2 linked regions of the Stegostoma tigrinum genome follow. The protein of the gene in region 1 interacts with the protein of each later gene in a pairwise test. Links are inferred from orthologs where the notes say so. Each region holds a gene or a part of one and is shown on either strand. Other genes may lie near its edges.

The links.
Region 2: the proteins of kat7b (region 1) and ninl interact in a two-hybrid assay, tested with the Homo sapiens proteins (2 studies listed by BioGRID and IntAct). The two-hybrid records come from large-scale screens. The link is inferred for Stegostoma tigrinum from reciprocal best matches to the Homo sapiens genes KAT7 and NINL.

What each region holds. Positions count from the first base shown.
Region 1 is NC_081384.1:23,490,299-23,498,792, reverse strand, and holds the start of kat7b (histone acetyltransferase KAT7), read left to right. Parts: upstream 1-5,277; 5' UTR 5,278-5,426; coding exon of another isoform or gene 5,427-5,441; intron 5,442-8,494. UniProt on the Homo sapiens protein: Catalytic subunit of histone acetyltransferase HBO1 complexes, which specifically mediate acetylation of histone H3 at 'Lys-14' (H3K14ac), thereby regulating various processes, such as gene transcription, protein ubiquitination, immune regulation, stem cell pluripotent and self-renewal maintenance and embryonic development.
Region 2 is NC_081362.1:20,262,235-20,270,563, reverse strand, and holds the start of ninl (ninein-like protein), read left to right. Parts: upstream 1-4,743; 5' UTR 4,744-5,022; intron 5,023-8,329. UniProt on the Homo sapiens protein: Involved in the microtubule organization in interphase cells. Overexpression induces the fragmentation of the Golgi, and causes lysosomes to disperse toward the cell periphery; it also interferes with mitotic spindle assembly.

The sequences.
Region 1 (8,494 bases):
ACTGGATAATGACCAGATCATCTATTTTCAGTGATGTTAGCTGTATCAAATCAACGTGTGTATTTAAATTTTTAAATGAATTTCCCATATGCTAGTTTCTTTTCAGTCAAACCAAATCTACGTTCAAAAATAATAAAATGTGAGGCTGGATGAACACAGCAGGCCAAGCAGCATCTCAGGAGCACAAAAGCTGACGTTTCGGGCCTAGACCCTTCATCAGAGAGGGGGATGGGGGGAGGGAACTGGAATAAATAGGGAGAGAGGGGGAGGCGGACCGAAGATGGAGAGTAAAGAAGATAGGTGGAGAAGGTGTGGGTGGGGAGGTAGGGAGGGGATAGGTCAGTCCAGGGAAGACGGACAGGTCAAGGAGGTGGGATGAGGTTAGTAGGTAGCTGGGGGTGCGGCTTGGGGTGGGAGGAAGGGATGGGTGAGAGGAAGAACCGGTTAGGTAGGCAGAGACAGGTTGGACTGGTTTTGGGATGCAGTGGGTGGGGGGGAAGAGCTGGGCTGGTTGTGTGGTGCAGTGGGGGGAGGGGATGAACTGGGCTGGTTTAGGGATGCAGTGGGGGAAGGGGAGATTTTGAAACTGGTGAAGTCCACATTGATACCATATGGCTGCAGGGTTCCCAGGCGGAATATGAGTTGCTGTTCCTGCAACCTTCGGGTGGCATCATTGTGGCAGTGCAGGAGGCCCATGATGGACATGTCATCAAGAGAATGGGAGGGGGAGTGGAAATGGTTTGCGACTGGGAGGTGCAGTTGTTTGTTGCGAACTGAGCGGAGGTGTTCTGCAAAGCGGTCCCCAAGCCTCCGCTTGGTTTCCCCAATGTAGAGGAAGCCACACCGGGTACAGCGGATGCAGTATACCACATTGGCAGATGTGCAGGTGAACCTCTGCTTAATGTGGAATGTCATCTTGGGGCCTGGGATGGGGGTGAGGGAGGAGGTGTGGGGACAAGTGTAGCATTTCCTGCGGTTGCAGGGGAAGGTGCTGGGTGTGGTGGGGTTGGAGGGCAGTGTGGAGCGAACAAGGGAGTCACGGAGAGAGTGGTCTCTCCGGAAAGCAGACAGGGGTGGGGATGGAAAAATGTCTTGGGTGGTGGGGTCGGATTGTAAATGGCGGAAGTGTCGGAGGATGATGCGTTGTATCCGGAGGTTGGTAGGGTGGTGTGTGAGAACGAGGGGGATCCTCTTGGGGCGGTTGTGGCGGGGGCGGGGTGTGAGGGATGTGTCGCGGGAAATGCGGGAGACGCGGTCAAGGGCGTTCTCAATCACCGTGGGGGGGAAGTTGCGGTCCTTGAAGAACTTGGACATCTGGGATGTGCGGGAGTGGAATGTCTTATCCTGGGAGCAGATGCGGCGGAGGCGGAGGAATTGGGAATAGGGGATGGAATTTTTGCAGGAGGGTGGGTGGGAGGAGGTGTATTCTAGGTAGCTGTGGGAGTCGGTGGGCTTGAAATGGACATCAGTTACAAGCTGGTTGCCTGAGATGGAGACTGAGAGGTCCAGGAAGGTGAGGGATGTGCTGGAGATGGCCCAGGTGAACTGAAGGTTGGGGTGGAAGGTGTTGGTGAAGTGGATGAACTGTTTGAGCTCCTCTGGGGAGCAAGAGGCGGCGCCGATACAGTCATCAATGTACCGGAGGAAGAGGTGGGGTTTGGGGCCTGTGTAGGTGCGGAAGATGGACTGTTCCACGTAACCTACAAAGAGGCAGGCATAGCTGGGGCCCATGCGGGTGCCCATGGCCACCCCCTTAGTCTGTAGGAAGTGGGAGGAGTCAAAAGAGAAGTTGTTGAGTGTGAGGACGAGTTCCGCTAGGCGGATGAGAGTGTCGGTGGAGGGGGCCTGGTCGGGCCTGCGGGACAGGAAGAAGCGGAGGGCCTTGAGGCCATCTCCATGCGGAATGCAGGTGTACAGGGACTGGACGTCCATGGTGAATATGAGGTGTTGGGGGCCAGGGAATTGGAAGTTCTGGAGGAGGTGGAGGGCGTGGGTGGTGTCACGGACATAGGTGGGGAGTTCCTGGACCAAAGGGGAGAAAATGGAGTCCAGATAGGTGGAGATGAGTTCGGTGGGGCAGGAGCAGGCTGAGACGATGGGTCGACCAGGGCAGGCAGGTTTGTGGATTTTGGGAAGGAGATAGAAACGGGCCGTGCGGGGTTGGGGAACAATGAGGTTGGAGGCTGTGGGTGGGAGGTCCCCTGAGGTGATGAGGTCATGAATGGTGTTGGAGATGATGGTTTGGTGCTCGGGTGTGGGGTCATGATCGAGGAGGCGGTAGGAGGTGGTGTCGGAGAGTTGGCGTCTGGCCTCGGCGATGTAGAGGTCAGTACGCCATACTACCACTGCGCCACCCTTGTCTGCGGGTTTGATGGTGAGGTTGGGGTTGGAGCGGAGGGCTGCCCGTTCTGCGGGGGAGAGGTTGGAGTGGGTGAGAGGGGTGGAGAGGTTGAGGCGGTTAATGTCTCGACGGCAGTTGGAGATGAAGAGGTCGAGGGAGGGTAGGAGGCCGCCTGGGAACCCTGCAGCCATATGGTATCAATGTGGACTTCACCAGTTTCAAAATCTCCCCTTCCCCCACTGCATCCCTAAACCAGCCCAGTTCATCCCCTCCCCCCACTGCACCACACAACCAGCCCAGCTCTTCCCCCCCACCCACTGCATCCCAAAACCAGTCCAACCTGTCTCTGCCTACCTAACCGGTTCTTCCTCTCACCCATCCCTTCCTCCCACCCCAAGCCGCACCCCCAGCTACCTACTAACCTCATCCCACCTCCTTGACCTGTCCGTCTTCCCTGGACTGACCTATCCCCTCCCTACCTCCCCACCCACACCTTCTCCACCTATCTTCTTTACTCTCCATCTTCGGTCCGCCTCCCCCTCTCTCCCTATTTATTCCAGTTCCCTCCCCCCATCCCCCTCTCTGATGAAGGGTCTAGGCCCGAAACGTCAGCTTTTGTGCTCCTGAGATGCTGCTTGGCCTGCTGTGTTCATCCAGCCTCACATTTTATTATCTTGGAATCTCCAGCATCTGCAGTTCCCATTATCTCTGATACTACGTTCAAAAAGATTGTTATCTTAAAAGGCCAGCAGGAGGCATTCAAAATCTAATTTATTATGTCAATTTGAAATGAGACTTTCAAGTTTTGTATTCTTTTTTAGGACCTATGTGTAACGACGAAAGGTTTTTTTCGAAGAATAAACTGCACACAACAAATAAGGGCCCAAACCCAAGGGGATTGCAATCTTGCAAAGGCAAAGATACTATGAAAATATTCTATCTTCCTAAGATTAGGATTATTTCAGTGACTTGGAGACAAATAAGGACTGCAGTTGCCAGAAGCCAGAGTTTATAGGTGTAAATCTGAAAAAGCATAGCAGGTCAGAGAGCATCCAAGCAGCAGGTATAACTAAAAGTTTGGCCTGAAATGTTCAATTATCAGTTCCTCGGATGCTGTCTTACCTGCTGTGCTTTTCCAGTCTCACAGCTACAGACCATAGTTATTTCAGTCTTTTCTCCAAGGTTAGAAGATAAACAGGCAAATAGCCAACCTATCTTAATTTATCACCTATTAAATAATCATACATTTTTGCTGCTACTACCGTACAAGAAAAACAATTTATATTTATATAGTGTCCCTAATCCAGTAAAACATCTCAAGACACTTCATAGGAGTGCCAACAAACAAAATTTGACATAGAGCTACCTATCAGGACATGTGACCCAAAGACATTTCATTTTTCGGAACATTTGTAAGGAAGACAGAGGTACGGAGGTTCCAGTGGCCGGGGCCCAGGAAGCTGAAAGCATGACCACCAGTGACAGTAATTAAAATCTGAGTATGCAGAACACGTGAACAGAATTTGAGAAGGTGACAGTGAGAGACAGAGCCAAGGAAGAATTAAAACAAAGACCAGAATTTTAAATTTAAGGTGTTTGGCCTACATTTACTTACAGATAAGCAATGAGTACAGGACTCATACATACGGTCTGGATGCAAGTTAGGAAAAGAGCAACAGTTTTACATGAGTTCAGGTTGGGAAGTGTCAAAGGTGTGAGACTGGCTCAGAGACCTTCTGATTGACAACTTGCCATCAGCTGATGGAAGTCTGAAGTCACATCAATGTGCTATTCGCAACAATGATCTGATGGTCACATTTGTTGAAAGTATTGTTGGGAAAACAGTGCTACAGCTTTCCAAGACTCCAAAAGGTAGAATAGATTCTCAGTCATTATTATTTGGGCTGTCTGAATTTAAGATGATTTAAAGGAAGCTAAATAGAAACATACTCTATCAAATAGAAGGCACACAATGCCAAATTCAACACTGATTTCCCCTTAATTCTCACCAGTATAGTACTGAGATTGTCCATCGAGTCCTAGGACTGAATTATTTCTAATTCCTACAAAAAGTGAGTTAAATTTTTGCTTAATCTTACCCATTAAGATGATAAAATTACAGATGGTCTCCTGCATCTGTAGATAATACAGTGGATGCCAGAATTCTGAAGGATTATCAAACTAAAACATTGACTTTACTTGACCCTCTGCTGCTGCCGGAAGACAGAGTTTTTTCAGCATTTGCAGTTTTAATTTCTGAACTACCATGTCTATGTATGTATAAAGTAGGCTAAACATGGATGTCCACTTGGGCACAGGGAAACAACAAAATAAAACAGAGTTGCAGATGATGGAAATTTGAAATAAGAACAGAAGTTGCTGGAAACACTCAACAAGTCTGGCAGCATCTGTGGAGACAGAAACAGAGTTAATGTTTTGAGTCTGGTATGACTTCTCTTCAGGAGGATTATTCTAATTTGCAGCTCCGTTTCTAACCCCGCTTCTCTGAACCATCCCGACGAAGATCGAGGAAAGTTTGAGAAATAGACATAACAAGATGAAACCCTTCTGGAGAAAAGTCCAGAACCGAAACATCAGCTTTCCGGCTCCTCTGCTGCTTGGCCTGCCGCGTTCATCCAGCTCTACATCTTGTTACCTCAGATTCTCCAGCATCTGCAGTTCCTACTTTCTCTGAACCAAGTTTGAGAAATATCTGCCTCAGCACCCGCTTGACAATAAAACACCCGCCCACCCACGCACGCACGTTAAAAGACCATCGGCCAGAAGCGTGAACATTGCTGTTTGTCTCTACCGGTGCTGCCTTAGTGCTAATGAGAGCTTCCAGCCTCGGCCAGCTAATTTGGTGCACACTCCGCTCCGGTCCCCCGGCCCCGTCCCACCAAGAGGAACTGAAAGCGCGGAGCAGCCGGAACACCACTGCTATTACCTTCCGCTCGGACCGGAAGTGGCGGAAAACAACAACGGCCAACGGCGCGAGTGGTTCGGGATTGTATTTTTTTGTGAAGAAGCGGAGTCGGTCCTGGGGACAGCGAGTAGTGGCTTACTGAGGTGTAAGGGGAGCAGGATGCCGCGGAGAAAGGTGAGCGTTCCTGTAGGCCGCGGCTGAATTACAATCTCACCCTCCATTCCCTGGGTGGCAGGATTTATTGTAATCCTCTCGCCGCCACCATTCTCCATCCTCCTCCTCCCCGGTGACTTGTTTTTCTGCCGGAATCTCAGGGAGAGGGAAGGCTCAAGGTCTGACTCACCCCTTGACGGGCCGGACATGCCATTTTAAGGGAAGGGGAGAGAGGAGACGGGATGGGACGGAGCTTCTCTCGTTTCCTGCCGGCCCCATGGAAAATACGAGAAACCGCTGCTTGGCGCCGGGCCTGCCAAGGTCCCAGTGGCGCGCGCGGACCCGCCCCTCGCTCATTCTATTGGCAGCGACCTCTGTCAATCAAGGCTATGCCGGCGTTCCCGCCATATGATTGGCTGGCGGATAGTCGCCGCCCCGCCCCCGGGTCTGTTGGAGGGTGGAAGCGGTTTGTGCAAAAGCAACAGTGGCAGCTGCTTCTGGGCAGTGGGGGGCTGGGTCAGCCGAAACAAGACAAGGCACCACACCACGCCACCGAACGTAGTTACAGTTCGGTTGACTGACTAGTGATAAGCGATCAGCATTGTCGCACAGTTAGAATTTGTTGTCTGCTACCAACATAACCTAATACAGCGCGCTTTAATCTATTGCTAAATAAGAACCAAAAGAACTGAGGATGCTGTAAATCAGGAACAAAAACAAAGTTGCTGGAAAGGCTAAGCAGGTCTGGCAGCATCTATGAAGGGAAAAAAAAGTTAAAATTCTGAGGAAGACTGACTGGGCCCGAAACGTTAACTTTTTTTTCCTTCTCAGATGCTGCCAGACCAGCTGATCTTTTCCAGCAACTTCTGTTTAGTTTGAACCATTGCTGTCTGTACTGGGACCCAGTAATAAATGACAGTGGTAAAGGAGAAGCCAGTGCTTAGGTTAATTTAATTAATTCAATACAGTAGGTTTTCTTCATATTTCTGATTGCTGTCAGTACTGTATGATTACTGTGAGCCTTTCCCTTGATGCGCCTTCCTTTGACAATTTGGTTCTTCAGTTGTAAAGTGAAAATAAAGAGTGTCTTTCACAGCCTCCGGAGGTTCCCAAATATGTACAGCCGTTGAACTACTTTTGAAATGCAATCACTAAGAAACACCCAAGTGTGAGCTCAGCAAGCCGTCACGAATAGCAGAATAGTTCATTTATTTTCTGCGATGTTGTTTGAGGGATAGTATTGGCCAGGATGCTGGGGATAATCCCTTGTTCTTTGTTAGAGTTGATGGAGCATTTACTGTTGTATCCAAACAACAGCACTTCCTCAGTACTGCAGGTGATTAACGGTGTTGCATTCACGTGTTTGGCATGGATCGTGCTGCTTGATATGTTGCCAATTTGTAATTTATCTAATAGCAGTCTTCGTTGGAGTTAAAATGGTTCTGAAATGACACTAGAATTATCAGGCTGCCACAGTAACTGGTGCAATTCTTGTTAGATAAAAGTGATTCTGTGGGTGTAAGGTTGATTGGCTGGGCCAGCATTTATCGTTCATTCCTAAGTGCAATCGAAAAGGTTAGCTGCCTTCTTGAACCACAGCAGTCCATTTGCTGATGTACTTTGACCCAATGCCACTGAATGAATGGCAAAATTGTTCCAAGACATGGCGGAAGGTAAGTTGGAGGGCAAGTTGCAGATATTGGTGCTCCCAGGTACCTGCTGCCCTTGCACATCTAGATGATAACGATCTTGGGTTTGGAAGGAGCTGTCTATGGAGACCTGGTGAACTTTTGCAGGAGATTCTGTGTAGTGCTGTGCGTCTGTGGTAGAGGGAGTGAATATTTACGGATATGGTGCCAATCAGGTTGGCTTCTAATTCTTGGATGGTGTCAAACATATTGGGTGGTGTTGGATCTGTACTTATCCAGGCAAGCTAAGAGTATTTCAATATACTCCTGACTTGTGCTTTGTAGATGATAAACGGTCTTTGAGGAAACTTAAGTAAGCTATTCGCTGCAAGATCCCTAGCATCTGATCTGCTCTAACAGCCACAATATTTGTGTGACTGGTTCAGTTTTCAGTGAGTGCTTACCCCAGGATGATGCTAGTAGGGAATTCATTGATGGTTAGATTCTGTCAATGAGATGTTCATTTCCTAGCATTAGTTTGACATGAATGCTACTTCTCACTTATCATCCCAAGCCTGGATATCACCCAGATCTTGCTGAATTTGATCTGGAGGTGCCAGTATTTGACCGGGGTGAACAAGGTCAGAAATCAGATGCCACCAGATTATTATCAGGTGAAGGCAACGTTGTAAAACCTTAACCTTGGTCTATAATCTGCTGTCGTTTGATTTCTGAACTTGCTGTATTTGGGCAAGAACTTCTTCAGTGTGTGAGGTATCACGTATATGTTGCTGAACATTATTTAATCTTGAGTAAACATCTGTGTCTGATTTCATATTGGGAGGAAGGTTCTTAACGAAGCAGTTGAAGATGATTGGACCTAGAACACTATGCTAAGAAACTTCAGGCTTCTTGAGCTGTCGAACTGGTGTCCCTAATTCTGGGCCTGAGACCTGGGTATAAGTCCCACTTGCTCTGGAGGTGTGTCATAAGATGTCTGATCAAGTTAATTAAAAAAATCTACCCTGCAAGTCCTGCAATGATGCCCTTGAGCTGAAATGACTGACCTCCAACAATGACAGCTATATTTCTTTTTGGTGACAATGACTCAGACTAGTGGCAAGTTGCCTCTGATTGTCGTTGATATTAGTTTTGATATGGCTCCTTAGTTTAACACACTGTCGGACATGGCCTTGATGTCAAGGGCTGTCACTCTTACCTCACCTCACCTCTGGAACTCATCTCCTTTATCCATGTTTGAGCCAAGACTATAATGAGGTCAGGAGCTGAGTGGCCCCGATGGATCCCAAATGAGCAGGTTGTTGCTAATCGAGTGTTGTTTGTCAGCCCTGCTGCTGACCCCTACCATCACTGCTGATAAGCAACAGCAGACTGATTGGGCAGTAATTAACCAGTTTGCATTTATCCTACTTTTTGTATATAGTT
Region 2 (8,329 bases), on another chromosome or scaffold:
CAGAAAGGCAAATGGAACTAGGATGTTCTGATTTTTAAATTGATAAATACAAAAGCTATGAGGTTCAAGGTTGAGCTCAGAAGTTACCAGTTATGGTTTTTTGTAGAAATGTTGGACAATCACCAAACCACAAGCAAACTCAAGGGTCCTCATTGCATCTCATAAGTTGGAGATTAGCTGGCACACTAAGCAGAAGACAAAGAGAATTCCAGAGAGCTTTGCCTTTCTTGGTTTGTTTCCAGATGAAGAGGTGAATGAACCCTCAAAATTGTGAAATTAAAGCAGTAAAAGGGGGACTGGATAAGAACTGATGATTAAAAGTCTTGACAAACTATGGTGTTAAGATGCTTGCTTTGTTTTTATATATACAGTAAAGTCTGTATTGTTTTAAAACATTAAATCGTTTGGTGTAGTTCTTCCAGTAACTCACTAGGTGTTCAGATTTCTCTATGGAACTTTCAACACCAATATCCTCATCATCCGGTAAAGTTGTGTGTTTATATTATAAATGCCAGTTGCCTTACATTTTAATTTTAAAACGATTGTTCCCATGTTGCTAAGCAGTTACAACTCAACAGTATGTAATTACTTTATGGGTGCTAAAAGTGTTCTTAAAGTGCAAGTTCAGATAGGAATAAAAAAATAAATTAAGCAACTTGCATACATCAAAATGAAACAGCAAAATGAAATGAGGGCTGAAGATTAGCCAGGATAGGAGGAAGAACTCCTGTGTTGTATTTTTAAGAAAAAGCATCATAGGATCTTTTACACTAAATAGAGATGGCTGATTAATCTTTAGTTTTAGTTTATATTGTGAAATAGACTTAGAATCATAGAATCCCTATCAGCCCATTGAGACCATACCAAGTCTCCGAAGAGCGAGCTGCCCAGACAATCCCCTACTATTCTATCCCTGTAACCCTGCATTTCCCATGGCTAATCCACCTAGCCTGCACAAACCTGGATACTATGAGCAATTTAGCATGGACAAATCCATCTAACCTACACGTCTTTGGACTGTGGGAGGAAACCAGACCATCTGGAGGAAACCCACCCACATATAGGGAGAATGTGCAAACTCCACACAAACAGTTTTCCAAGGGTGGAATCAAACCCAAGTTCCTGGAGTTGTGAGGCAATAATGCTGAACCACCATGCTACCATAAATACATCCAACACCTTTGGGAAAGATTGCAGAAAATTGAAAAAGAAACAGCATATTGTCAATATCTGTGTGCATCAAAAAAAATCTGACTGACTGCACAGTACTCCCACTTTGGCAGTTTTGTCCTTTGTAATAATTGTTCACATCTTCAGTGCTTTGAAAGACTTATTGTTTGTTTGAAGTATTTAGTTAATAGGAAATCTTTTATCTTAAGTTTAAACGTTTTATTTTGAAAGCAGTTCAATATTTTGCTTGTGGTTGATAAATGCTCACACTCAACAATGTCCACATTCCACGTTATCTAAATGTATCCAATTAGTCACTCTTCCAAAATGTCTTCGTGTAGCTATTGTTAGCTTGGAGCCTGGGATGAAAGCATGTTTTTGAGGGAGAGCATGTAGGAAATTAATTAAAAAATGCTTTACAAGAAGACAGGTATACCTCAAATGACATGATTCCATAGGTATATGTAGCATGCATTGGGGTCCTACACTATGGTCCAGGAGGGTCCAAGATCCAATTTGGGTTGAACACCACTGGGTTAATAGATGGCGGGGAAGAAAAGGAAATCAGCTGGAGTTCCTGTCACTAATCAGAAAGTGCTGACTGTCTGTCAGATGAAGACAGTCCTGCGTGACAAATAGTCACTTGTTTGAAATGCAGAAGGCTACTAGCATTAGCAAAGGTATATCACAGCCTTGAGCCGTAACCCTCTGGGAAAGGACGGAAAAGGGGAAGGAAATACTTACCAGGATGTTGCTGGGACTGGAGGGTTTGAGGTAGAAGGAAAAGCTGATAGGCTGGGATATTTTTCCACTGGAGCATTGGGGGCTGTAGGGGTGACCTTAAAGAAGTTTATAAAATCATTGTGCATAGGTGCATTGATAACATCAGTTGACAAGGTCTTTGTCCAATGGTAGGGGAGTCAAAAACTAGAGTTTAAAGTGATAGGGGAAAGAGTTAAAAGGGACAGGAGGGACAATATTTTCACACAGTGTGTGTGTACAATGACCTTCCAGAGGAAGTGGTAGAGACATGTTCAACTACAACATTTAAAAGACATTTGGATAGGCACATGAATAGGAAGAGTTAAGAGGGATATGGGCCAAACACAGGCAAATAGGACTAGTTCAGTTTAGGATACCTAGTCAGCATGGACAATTTGGACTGTTTCTGTCCTGTATGACTCTAAAACCGGAAGGTTTATTCATGAAAATAAAAATGAAACCCACTTTACTTGTGATAGATAGCCCAATGCATCATGTACGACAATGTTGAAGGAACCAAAGGCACAGTTACTAAATTTGTTGATCACACAAAAGGTAGTTAAGACTGTAAGTTGTGAAAAGGACGTAAGGAAGTTTCAAATGAATATAGACCACTTAAGTGAGTGGGCAAAGATCTCACAAATGGAGTATAATCTGGGAAAATCTGAAATTGCCCATTTCAGCAGGAAGATTAGAACAGAAATATATTATCTAAATGGTAAGAGGTTGCAGATCTTGAAGATACAGAGATATCTGTTTGCCAAAGTGCATGACTTGTAAAAGATTAGTATATAGGTACAACAAGTAATGAGGAAAACTAATACAATATTCTTATTTATTATGATGGGAATTTAATACAGAAGTAGGAAAGTTATACTTCAGTTATACAGGCACTGGTGAGATCACATTGAGTACCAAGTACAGTACAGGTCATCTTATTTAAGGCAGCATGTAAGTGTATTGGAAGTAGCTTGTAGATGCTTTACTAGACTAATGTCTGGAATGGGTTTGTTGTTTTATGAGGAAAGGTGGGACAGATGAGTCTTGCAAAGACTGCACCTTAGAAAGATAGAGGTGACTTGATTGATGTACACAAAATCCTGAGGTATCTTGACAGGATGGATGTAGAAAGGATGTTTCTTCTTGTGGAAGAATCTAGAACAATATTATTTTTCTTCATTTGATGAAGAATCACTAGACTCAAAATGTTATCCTGCTTTCTCCCACAGATGCTGCCAGACCTGCTGAGTTTCTTCTGCCACGTCTACTTTTGTTTCAGATTGCCAGCATCCACAGTTCTTTGTTATAATTTATTATACTGGAACTCAAAGGACACCCATTTAAGACAGGGAATGAGAAGAGAGTTTTTTTTTAAAATTCAGAGTATGGGAATGTTTGGAATGTTCTTCCTCAAAAGAAGTAGAAGCAGAGTCTTTGAATATTCTTAGGTCTAACATGGGTTCTTGATGAGCAAGAGTGTAAAAATTTGGCCAGGCAAAGTGGGAATATGAAGTAATCAGTGATCTTATTGAATTGTGTAGCAGTCTCAGGGAAAAATGTCTTACTTCAGCTCTTAATTCATAAAAAAATTATGTTTACCTAACCCAAAGGCTGGTTCTTGCTTAATGATTGTAGATCCTTCATCATTACCTTTTTAAATCAGTGATGCTTTAGCATTGTCATCCACTCCAAAGGGTGAGGTGAACTGGGATGTCATTGGTCTACCTCCACCAGACAAGTAGATAAATCAAATCTGCACTGTTGGTGTTATTCTGAGCAAGATACAGGGAAAACCCATCTGGTTAACTCATGTCCTTTTGGAAAGGAAACTGCCGTCCTTACCTGGGTCTGCCTACATGTGACTCCAGACCACAGCAATGTGGTTGACTGTCAACTACCCTCTGGGCAATTAGAGATGAGCAATAAATGCTAGCCTAGCCAGCAATGCCCTCATCATGTGAATGAATGAAAAAAAACGTGTATTTTAACATTTTACGAGAATGTTTGCATAGGCATTGACAGATTGAGAGCATGGTTTGTAAAATGTACCATTTCCTATTGGAATATAGAGTGTAGGAACTATGACTTTTGTAAGGCGTTAGATTTGATCTGATTTATTATCATTACGTACCAAAATACAGCGAAAAGTGTTGTTTTGTGTGCTAAGCAGGCAAAAACACACCTTACATTAAGTACATCAGGGTAATAGAACAGAATGCAGTAAAGAGTAGAACGCTCCTAATAGAGTTCAGCCTGAGCTGGAATCTGTATCAATTTCTGCTAATTAATTTAAGTACAGAAAATGATTTAAGGGGTTGGTGTCCAGAATGATGAACTTCTGTTATAACAATAGATTGAAGAAGCTGGGACTGCTTCCGTGGAGAATAAAATTTGAGAGATTTATAAGGTCAAAGGTGCAAACACAATTACAGGAAATTCGGCAGGTATTCCTTTTAAACAAGAGGTGTTCATATTCACGAGGGGCTTGGATAAAATGAATAGGAAGTAAGTGCTCCAAGTGATGAAAGTATCAACAACGGGAGAGCACAGATTTAAACAATTTGCAAAAGAAGCAAAGGTGACGTGAAAAAAAACCCTGCCTGACGTATGGTGGTGGCAGTTTTAAAAGCTCTATTCAAAACAGAACGTAAAGGAAGAATGTTCGGTAATCGGGACAGAAGGGGGAAACCAAATGAATTCGGAGAGACAATGGGCCAAATGGCCTCCGTTGGTACCGTAATACTTTCTTGTGATATTCCTCCCTGCCAGCAGGGGCTGCAATCAGGAAAGGGCAGTTTAAGGGCGATAGGTTGGCAAAGCCTGCCCAGTTTCCTGTATTGGAAGCGAGGTTAGTTTATACTTGCTGGAGTTCAGAGGTGAGAACCTCGGTCTGATTGAATGGTGAAGGGTAACACTCGTCCGCTAAATTGTCACAAAGCGGCGGAGTATCACTGTGATACCGACCTGGCTGAGTAACGAACTAGATACAATGGAGCCATGAAGATCACTGGTTCGTATTCAGTGAGGCACGATAGAGGGGGTTGGGAAGAAGATAAAGGGAAGTGAGAGCAAGGGGCTGGAAAAAAAGCGGTAAGATTTAAAAACATATTCTCCGGGCTCTCATAGGCGTCTTAAACGCGAATATTTACAACACTGTTAAGCTATTCACTGGCTCACTTGAAGTGAGTCGACTTGGTTCCCATGGTGAAGCGTTGTCTGTCCCTCCCTCGGAAAAGAATTTGAGGAGGTTTTGTTCCCCCGCTCGCCGGGAGGCATGTCCTCGAAAACCTTCATTTTTAAAATAAATTTTTCAGGTGCTGTATTTAATGATCATCCCACTTTATTAATTTCCCGAGTGTCTCATCCGATTTTAACGGCAGGCAATTGAAATGCTGTCCTGTCCAAGCAAAGACAGCATGTATAATTTGCTCGTGTGTGTAACATTTGAAAAAATACATTTGGGTTTGCTCCAAGCAAACCGGAATCCAGAAGGACAGCGACTCCAGCTATGCTGCGAAGTGTTTCTGAGTTCATCTCTGCATTTCACTGGGCGCGTTGCTATCATTCCTTAAATGTAAAGTTCTAGCTACCAGCTTTCTTTTAAATTAAGTCTTGAAATTTAGCTTTCTCGCCATTACCGATCCTATGGTAAGAAAATCTCCAGAATTCGACCTACTATTTTTGAGAAAAGGTAGTGCAATATCTCCTTTGTAATCCTGTCTGGACTCACTTTTATTTCAAAAATATATTTTACTCATATAACCTATAAATACACACAAATTCTGTAAACCAGTTCTGTGCAATCCTTTTAATGAAAAAGAAACAAACAAAACGTTGAAATTTTGACATTTCTCCGACCTACCCAGAGCCGTACCTTTTTATTATTTCAAAATATACTGTATTCATGGTCATATCTTTGTAAATATTAGATATAGAGAGAGACGTAGCCACAAATGCAGTTCGGTTCTGCACGGTAGCATATTAAAGGAACAAACACCATCGAGTTTGACTCTACCCAAACCGACCAAAGGCATTCTTCCTTGAACCAGAGTATATTCACATGCATTTGATGGACCAGGAGGGTCTGACAAATGAACGGACCCCCATTTAACTTCAGCCTGGAGTCGTACGTTGTTTTATTTCAAAAATATATTTTATTCATAAGAAAAAACTCTTTGTATACGTTCATAGTCACAAATGCAGTTCAGTTCTGTACAGTAGCATATCAAGCAAATAAACTTCGGAGTTTGACTTTATCCAAACGCGAGTTCACTTTAACAGCCGGTTCAAAGTTGGGTTTTCGTTTGGTTTCTAATGTTATTCACTGTCCTGAATTATAATACCACTTCTGACTGGAGGTGACACCGTAAAGCTTTGCATTTCACACAACAGTGCCAGTATAAATGCATTTAAGGGCTTGATGTATTAGCGCAAGGAGAATAAAAGATTCTTTCATTTTTATCCTGTTTAAATAGCATAAGGTATTTGATAGTATCAGAGATAATGGGAACTGCAGATGCTGGAGATTCCAAGATAATAAAATGTGAGGCTGGATGAACACAGCAGGCCAAGCAGCATCTCAGGAGCACAAAAGCTGACGTTTCGGGCCTAGACCCTTCATCAGAGAGGGGGATGGGGGGAGGGAACTGGAATAAATAGGGAGAGAGGGGGAGGCGGACCGAAGATGGAGAGTAAAGAAGATAGGTGGAGAGGGTGTAGGTGGGGAGGTAGGGAGGGGATAGGTCAGTCCAGGGAAGACGGACAGGTCAAGGAGGTGGGATGAGGTTAGTAGGTAGCTGGGGGTGCGGCTTGGGGTGGGAGGAAGGGATGGGTGAGAGGAAGAACCGGTTAGGGAGGCAGAGACAGGTTGGACTGGTTTTGGGATGCAGTGGGTGGGGGGGAAGAGCTGGGCTGGTTGTGTGGTGCAGTGGGGGGAGGGGATGAACTGGGCTGGTTTAGGGATGCAGTGGATGCAATTCCATCCCCTATTCCCAATTCCTCCGCCTCCGCCGCATCTGCTCCCACGATAAGACATTCCACTCCCGCACATCCCAGATGTCCAAGTTCTTTAAGGACCGCAACTTTCCCCCCACGGTGATTGAGAACGCCCTTGACCGCGTCTCCCGCATCTCCCGCGACACATCCCTCACACCCCGCCCCCGCCACAACCGCCCCAAGAGGATCCCCCTCGTTCTCACACACCACCCTACCAACCTCCGGATACAACGCATTATCCTCCGACACTTCCGCCATTTACAATCCGACCCCACCACCCAAGACATTTTTCCATCCCCTCCCCTGTCTGCTTTCCGGAGAGACCACTCTCTCCGTGACTCCCTTGTTCGCTCCACACTGCCCTCCAACCCCACCACACCCGGCACCTTCCCCTGCAACCGCAGGAAATGCTACACTTGTCCCCACACCTCCTCCCTCACCCCCACCCCAGGCCCCAAGATGACATTCCACATTAAGCAGAGGTTCACCTGCACATCTGCCAATGTGGTATACTGCATCCACTGTACCCGGTGCGGCTTCCTCTACATTGGGGAAACCAAGCGGAGGCTTGGGGACCGCTTTGCAGAACACCTCCGCTCAGTTCGCAACAAACAACTGCACCTCCCAGTCGCAAACCATTTCCACTCCCCCTCCCATTCTCTTGATGACATGTCCATCATGGGCCTCCTGCACTGCCACAATGATGCCACCCGAAGGTTGCAGGAACAGCAACTCATATTCCGCCTGGGAACCCTGCAGCCATATGGTATCAATGTGGACTTCACCAGTTTCAAAATCTCCCCTTCCCCCACTGCATCCCAAAACCAGCCCAGTTCATCCCCTCCCCCCACTGCACCACACAACCAGCCCAGCTCTTCCCCCCCACCCACTGCATCCCAAAACCAGTCCAACCTGTCTCTGCCTCCCTAACCGGTTCTTCCTCTCACCCATCCCTTCCTCCCACCCCAGCTACCTACTAACCTCATCCCACCTCCTTGACCTGTCCGTCTTCCCTGGACTGACCTATCCCCTCCCTACCTCCCCACCTACACCCTCTCCACCTATCTTCTTTACTCTCCATCTTCGGTCCGCCTCCCCCTCTCTCCCTATTTATTCCAGTTCCCTCCCCCCATCCCCCTCTCTGATGAAGGGTCTAGGCCCGAAACGTCAGCTTTTGTGCTCCTGAGATGCTGCTTGGCCTGCTGTGTTCATCCAGCCTCACATTTTATTATTAAGGTATTTGATAGATGTTACAATTTTGAGAATCAAAAGCCAAGAAGAAAATCCGCTTGAAGCTCCATCGAGAATTTTAGATGATAAAATTTTGCTAAACACCCATATGCATGTGGGTCTTCAAAAATGCACATTTTAGAGTGCAAAATGTAATGAAATGTTCATTTGC